Linked DNA regions of Tamandua tetradactyla. The protein of the gene in region 1 purifies or fractionates together with the protein of each later gene. This does not show direct contact. Links are inferred from orthologs where the notes say so. Each region holds a gene or a part of one and is shown on either strand. Other genes may lie near its edges.

The links. Proteins that work in one complex are often made in the same cells at the same time.
Region 2: the proteins of UPF1 (region 1) and STAU1 purify together in Homo sapiens (affinity purification with mass spectrometry; 7 studies listed by BioGRID and IntAct, with this or other methods). This does not show direct contact. The link is inferred for Tamandua tetradactyla from reciprocal best matches to the Homo sapiens genes UPF1 and STAU1.

Annotation. Positions count from the first base shown.
Region 1 is NC_135337.1:95,947,295-95,951,038, reverse strand, and holds the start of UPF1 (regulator of nonsense transcripts 1), read left to right. Parts: upstream 1-1,006; 5' UTR 1,007-1,015; coding exon 1,016-1,233; intron 1,234-1,479; coding exon 1,480-1,552; intron 1,553-2,469; coding exon 2,470-2,612; intron 2,613-3,149; coding exon 3,150-3,239; intron 3,240-3,744. UniProt on the Homo sapiens protein: RNA-dependent helicase required for nonsense-mediated decay (NMD) of aberrant mRNAs containing premature stop codons and modulates the expression level of normal mRNAs.
Region 2 is NC_135327.1:3,472,610-3,476,353, reverse strand, and holds the start of STAU1 (double-stranded RNA-binding protein Staufen homolog 1), read right to left. Parts: upstream 2,439-3,744; 5' UTR 2,322-2,438; intron 1-2,321. UniProt on the Homo sapiens protein: Binds double-stranded RNA (regardless of the sequence) and tubulin.

The sequences.
Region 1 (3,744 bases):
AGTAGAGCCCGTTCCCCCCTGATGAGCGGGGTGCTGGGTCCTGGGGGCCTGTGGCCGGCACGGGCTTCTCTGTGTAGATGAGAGCAGCAGGGCCTGAGCTGGGTTTTGGGGCCTGGACTGCCTGCGTGGGCACAGAAATTGACACCTGTTTTACCCCTGGGCCGTGTGGGTGCCCCTTTTCCACAGCCCATGACGGGGAGCTCCTGGTGCATGCAGTGCCCCGGCCTGGGGGTGGAACCTGCCCCCAGCACGTGACCCCCAGAGCCAGCCCGAAGCCCAGCCTGCTATCCTGTCCCCTCTCCTGTCTTCTTCCACCTGCACCCGCCCAGGATCCTTGGACCCACAGCAGGCCGCAAGCTTTGGCCTTGGGTTGACTACGAGCGCCTGGAGAGAAGAAGGGCGTCTCGTGCGTCGCCCTGCTGCGGCGGGTGGACATGGGCACCCCTTTCCCATGGCCCAGCCTCTCTGTTTGCTGGGCAGCGGCGCCTGGGCAGTGGCAACCCCTTCTGGGGTCGGGTCCCTGGCGCCAAGGCAGCAGCCGGTCCCAGCAAGGATGATGGAGAGGGCCCGCGCCAAGTATGGCTCACTGGCCGGCAGCCTGTGGGCCCCAAGGTCTGAGCAGACCCAGGCCGGGACACCGGGGAGCGGGACTGTGTGGAGAGCAGCCCCTGCCATGGCACCTTGGCTGGTGGCCTCCACCAGCGTCGCACAGTCACACACGGCTGGGCTTTCTCCGGAGGAGGCTGGGGCGTCATCTGCGGTGCATGGGCGCAGGGCCGTGGGGGGGTGCGTTCCCTGGTGAGGCCCCCTGCAGCACCCCCACAGAAAGGGGCTGCCCGTTCCTCTCTAAGAAAACCTTGGCATCGAGGCCTAAGGATGGTCCCTCCCTCTCGGTGTCTGGGCTGTGGCCCTGGGGCTCCCTGGTGCCGGCCTGCCCTCAGTGCCCGGGTCGTGGCAGGGAGGGGAACCCTCGAGCGGGGCCCTGGGGAAGGGATGGTGACTGCAAGGCCAAGGGATGGGGATGTCTTCAGGTTGGGGAGTTGCCGGGGAGGGCCGTGGAGCGAGACTTGAAGGCCACAGAGGCCAGGCCGCGGCAGGCGCTAGTCGGGCCGGCTCCACATGTGAGCACCAGGCTGGCTTCACAGACCCCCATCTGCAGCGTCTGCGCTCACAGCATGCGATTCCAGTCCCCAAGCAGGGTGCCAGGCACCCCACCTCATGGCCGCCTGAAAGGTGCTGAGTAGGGACATGCCCTTGTACTGCGGGTTGAGCGGAGGTGGGGACAGAGACCCACGGCCTTGGCGGACTCGGGACCCCAGGTGCAGGCAGTGCAGGGTCCGGGAGTCCGGGCCAGAGCGGGGTGCTGCCCACAGGGACCCGGGGCCCTGGCGTCCTGGCTCAGGGCTGGGTTTTAACACATTTCATTATCCCTTCCAAGGTCACATCTTGTTGCAATACTATGTGTCTCGACTCTTTCAGTGATTGGAGGGGAAGCGAACAACCTGGCTACAGCTGTCAGTTTTGCATTGTGCCCAGAAGTGGTGGGCAGAGGGTGAGAGCGTGGGGGAGAGAGCGAGCGGGACAGAGGCAGGAGTGGGGCAGGGAGGCTGGGTAGGTGGGAGAGGGTGGCACGGACCCTTGTCTCTGTGCCTTGCTGATGAGCCCGCAGGGTCCGGGGCTGGCCAGGCACTGGGTGCAGGCTTCTCTCTGCCCTTCACTGGTGGCAACTCAGGGAAGGAAGCACTGAGAGCAGTGGAGGGGTGCACGCCTGGGGCCTTTCCCTCCTGGGCTGGCACAGGCGGAACCGTGGGCGCAGGGGCTCACCCCACCCCAGTATGGAGGGAAGGACTGGAGCAGGCATCTGGAGGACCTGGGGGTCGTGGGGAAGGGTTTGGGAATCGAGGGACAGCAATGCGAAGTTCACACGCCGCCGCGTGGCCTGGTTCCTTGCCGTTCGCCGGGTCACTCCATTACTAGAACTGCAGTCGAGGCCAAGGCCCAGGATGCGGGGTGGGGCCGGGTGGGTGCTGGGTCTCGGCAGGTGGCCTGTGCGTCCAAGGCCGAGCTGACAGTGGTTTGGGCCGGTGGGGGTATCCCTCTGAGGGCACTAGGGGGAAGCAGTGCCTCGGCAGGGGTCCCAGGCCTGAGGGGCTCTTGCCTGCCCCCTTGTCTGGCTGGGCCCCGTGAGGGGTTGGGTGGGAGGGGCCCATGGAGGGAGTGCGGGAAGTGATGCCTGGAGAGGGTCCAAGAGGGACTCGCTGAGGGTGACGCCTGCGTGATGGGGCGTCGCTGTCCCTGTGCAACTGGTGAGACTCTCCCCTAGGCGTGGCAAAGTGTCCCCTGCTGCACCTGGACATGGCCATGGCTCTGCGGCCGGCAAGGACAAGGCCTAGGTGGGGGGGTCGAGGAGGTGAGAGGCGCCCCTGTGGGTCGGCCGGGGCTTCACAGGTGACGTGCCGCTCTATGCAGGTCGGCGGGCCCGAGGGCGTGCTGCAGAATGGGGCCGTGGACGATGGCGTGGCCAAGACCAGCCAGCTGCTGGCCGAGCTGAACTTTGAGGAGGACGAAGAAGACACGTACTACACGAAGGACCTCCCCGTGCACGCGTGCAGGTGAGCCCCGGGTCTTTGAGGAGGCCCGCCCGGGCTGTCCTTGTTTCCGGCACACATGGGAGGAAACCGAGGTCGAGAGAGGTGGCAGCGCGCTGCTCAGGGAGGGCTTTTCCTTTTCCTGGAGTTGCGCTTTGCTCACGTTAATTGATGAGTGCACAGATGCCCCTGTCCTGGCAGGCCGCTTGCTGTGTGTGTGTGGTGGCCCTCTGGGTGGCTGGAGAGGTCCCCACGCGGGGTCCGCGCCCGTCCTGGAACACAGTCCCCTCGGCCCTGCACGTGTTGCTCCCATGGGGAGGATGTGCCTCCGAGACTGCAAGCCCGGGGTAGTGGCCTGCGCAGCCCGGGGTCTCCTGGTGGCTCCCAGCACACCTCGCTTCTGCCTTGTCTTCTGTTTTATGAGGATCTGTTATTAGCACTGTTGGGTTTGAGTATGTGTTTAACGCAAGACTTAAAAACGCCATGAAAGAGTCTCACATACTGCCTCACGCACTTGGGAGCGCAGCCTTCCAGGCTGAACGGTGGTGTCTTGCTTTCCAGCTACTGCGGGATCCACGACCCCGCCTGCGTGGTCTACTGCAACGCCAGCAAGAAGTGGTTCTGCAACGGCCGCGGGAACACCTCCGGCAGGTAGAGGCCCGGGCAGGTGGCCTGCGGGGAGTGCGGGCAGTGGGCAAGAGGTGCCGCGGGAGCCACGTGGTGGCCTGGGAACACCTTCGCCTCCTGCCTGGTCTGTCCTCTGTGACTCTTCTCACATGCGCGTGGGGTTGGCTTCATTCTTGGCCCAGATTTTCACTATGTTCTTGCGTGAGGTGAACTGCTGGCCCGCCCCGGCCAGAGGGACCTCGGGGCCCGGGGAGGTGGCCCGGGGAGGCTGTGGGCAGAGCCCACGCGGCGGAGCCCCAGCGTGTGGCCCTTGCACCTCTTCTTGCTGTCGATCAGCATCGGCCGCAGGACTTCGGGTGAGACGGACCACTTGGCTATTGCACAGCTTCTGGGGGCACAGCTGCTGCCTGGCTGGGCCTTCCCACCCAGGCTGACCGGAATGCCCAGCGCTGCCCCAAGACTCCCATCTCTGGAGACTTAAAGTGGCAGAGTGGTAGGTCATACCACCAGCTCACCTCTACTGGCCACG
Region 2 (3,744 bases), on another chromosome or scaffold:
GGTACATCTTCACCGGAACAGGGTTCAGGAAATCTGTATTTCTGATTGCTTTCCAGTTACAGCCATCAGCAGCGAAAGAACTGTTGTTTTTGCACACACAAAAAAAACAAGGAAGTATTTTTGGATTTTACTTTGAGGGGAGAAAGCACTGGATCAATAACTAATCTTGAAGCTAATTTTTTTTCCATTGTACTCGTATGTAAACAGAGACGGGCACCCCAACAAACAAAATTTAGAACTATGATCCTGCTGAAAGTAGATTTTGTGACAAATTAACACACTGAGGCATTCTGATAAAAGTCAAAATCGCTAAAGTTATGATATGATGTTTGAGTTCTGTTTCAAAATAATCCAGTTTGTGGGAAACAGGAAACAAGATTGACTTTAGCTATGAGTTAATAATTGTCAAAGATGAGTGACCAATACATGGCGGTTCTCTAACCAACTTTTGTAGGTTTCCATAATAAACAGTTGTTCTATGACAACTTGAAGTTATCTACAGCAGCATTAAGCATCACTTCTCTAGCACTTCAATTCACAATATGGCAGAAGACATGCTTTGTATTGTCTGTATAGGTGTTTTTTAAGTGTTTCTAAAGAGCCATAACAAGATTTAAAGTAAAAATGATGGTAAGACTTTATGTCAGAAAATTCTAGGAAAATGCCGAGAACAGAGAGGATACTTTGCATTGTTGTATTATTGTGGGATGGTTATAAAAACATTTTAAGTTTACTAAAGAAATTCGCTGCCTAAAAGAACCCATTCAGTATAACAAACACATGCTATTTCTAATTCCTGTAAATTTGAACTTTCAGGAGTTTCAATTCCTTAATGAAGGGTGCAATATACAACTAAGTACAGAATTAAAAGAAAATCAGCATGATGAATAAAACTGTTCTAAAAATCCCACCTGTTGCCAGGATGATTGAAACTGCTCCCTCTATAATCCAACTGTATTTTTAGTTTTTAACTCAACAAGTAGCAACGTAACTTACATTTGGTAAGCACACTGATTTCTGAAAGGCCAAAATCCACGGAAAACCTAGTTTAACTCTTTCCACCGCCTTCTAATCAAAGTCACAAGGAGAAGGGAAGAGTGATCTTAAAAACGTCCCTAGAGTCAAAGAGGAGTGGCAGAACAGACTGAAACACGCATTTCTGCGGGATCGGGAGAAAACTTCCACACAAGCAAAACTGTAACACACGGAAGGAGCAAGAGCTGAAAATGAAAGTCTGCCAACGGGGACGCAGGGAATAAAAGCAAAGCTGCAGTGCAAAAAAAGTTAGGAAGTATAGATGGAGAGCAAGAAAGGACTTATTTTTTCCATCTTCGTACAATCCCCTTCCAGAGCCCGACACACATCAGGTGCTCCAAAAACGTTTGCCGAACTCAAGGGAAGCTTCTGCCAGCAAGTTTCCCAGAAAATGGAATAACAAGAAGTCCAACAACGGAAGAAGAAAAGGACCGGTTGCTCGCAGTGAGGGAGCTGGTGGGAACCCTGCCGTCGGTCAAGCGGAGGAGACGGACATACAACATCTACCTTTTACAGACGGCTGCTCCAAGGTGTCCCATTCCAGCGTTCGCCCCTTTCAGACATTAACAACCCAAAACAATGTCCTGGAGCTGCTGGTGGGCACGCTCAACATCCCTGCCTCTAAGGAAACGCAAACTGGAAGGCGGGTCAACTTCTGTCCGCTCTACCCATTCAATTACACCTTAATACCACGCTAATAAAAGATGCAGGCGGCTTACCGGGACCCGCGGAGGGTCTGAAGCTCTGATGAGGGCTTCACACGCCCCGGCTCACTGAACCTTAGCAGCGGGACCTTGTGAGCCCCTTTTCCAAAGAAGCCCAAAGAGTTTCAGCGACTCGCCCAAGAAGGCAGGGCGAGGATCTATGCCCACGGTGAACACCTGAGCAGTGCTCGCAGTCACCACGTTCCAGAGCCGGGTTGGGGGCACCGGGCTGTTCCGGGGCTCCGGGGCTCCGGAGTTCCGAGCCGCGCCCCTACCCGCTCCCCCGGCCCCTGGCCCGGGAATAACTTCGGCGGCTCCGAGCGCGGAAAGGCGGTCGTGGCACCTGTTTGTGGCCCCAGCAGGGGGTGGAGGGGGTGGGGGAGGGCAGCAGCAAGGCCGCCGGGCGCCCTGACCGGGGGTCTCGGCAGGACCCGCCTCCCTGGGGAAGGCCCCGCCGGCGGACAGAGGCCCGGGGACGGCGACCCCGCGCGCGGCTCGCCGAGGCCTAGGCCCCACCCGCCGCCCGCCGCCCCGCGCCCACGGCCCCGCGCGGGCCGGCCAGGCCGGGCCCAGCCGCCTCACCTGGCTGCTGCCCCGAGTTCGTCCCCCGGCCGACAGGCCTGGGTGGCGGCGGCGACGTCGAGAAGGGGCAGGAGGAAGGAAGTGGGGAGAGGAAGAGGGGACGGCGGGAGGGAAAAGGCGGAGTGGCCGTGGAGGGGGCGGGCGCCGCCCGGCCGGGACGTGAGGGGAAGGGGGAAACCAGAGAGACGCGGCGGCCGCGGGCGCAAACGCTGAGGAGCCGCTGGGCGCCCGCAGCCTGGCAGGAAGTGACGGGGGAGGGGCCGGCGCCCGCCCTCGGCCCCCGCCCGCCTCCATGCCCGGCCCCACCCCCACCCGTGGCCGGAACCACAAGTCCCGGCGGGCGCTCCGGCGGCGCCTGAGCTCGCGGGGCGCGCCGGGAACCTGGCGGACTGGGGCCGAGTCGGCGTGGCACGCCGCGGCCCGCCCTGGGCCCCTGGGCCTGCTGGGAGTTGGGGTCCCGGACTGCAGGCCCGCGCGAGGTGTACCTGGGAAAGTGGGCGGTCCTTCCGCCCTTCCGGTTCTCCCTCCCTTCCGGCCTCCTTTCCGGCCTCCCTCCCACCCTCCTTCCCCCCCTTCTTCCTTTCGTAAGTGTGTCTGAGCAGGCGTCACTGTGAGAGCGGAAAGCATGGTGACCAAACAGAAAGACCCCTGCCCTCATGGAACTTGCATTCTAGTGGGGATAAAACACGCAATAAGTAAATAAACTCCGTAGTCTATACAAAGGGTTCAGATCGATAAATGCCTTGCCCAAAAGGAGGGGAGACAGGCAGAAACCGCAGCCGCGCAAGCAAACAAGACGCCCTGAGAGGGCCGCAAGTGCTGTGAAGAAAACGGAGAGGACGAGGTGACCGACGGGGACGGGCGGGCGGGCCCTTCCGGGGAGACGTCGGAGCGAGACCTGAGCCCGCCGAACGTGTGAGGGCGGAACATTCCAGAAACAAGAAGTGTAATTTTTAGACTTTTGTGATTTTTATGACTTTTCATAGGCTTTTATGAACTTTGTATGTCCCCATTCCTTTTTACAGACACAATTTATCTTCTGGGTAGAACAACACAGAATTTAGTGTAACATACTTAATGATCACAGTTTCTTACTTCCATCTTCCTCCCAAAGAAAACCTTAGTTACTTGGTAAGAGTCAGAAGGTCTTGAGGCCCTTGGAAGAGAATGTGATGGATGGCGTCTAGGCCAGAGAAAAGCTAATCTAAGGAACCCTCTCCTGAACCCCGGCCAGCCCTACAGCTAACCTATATCTTGGCCGTACATTCCGAAAGTTTGGAATACTTAGCGAAATGAAGGATGTTAAATCTCCAGGTGGTTGTTGTTTTCTATTTCTTTTTTTGTTTGTTGTTTGGATTAGTTGCAATTATTCTAACAATCACGTGGTTATCTAGGTTTGCATTGTTGCTTTAATAATGAAACA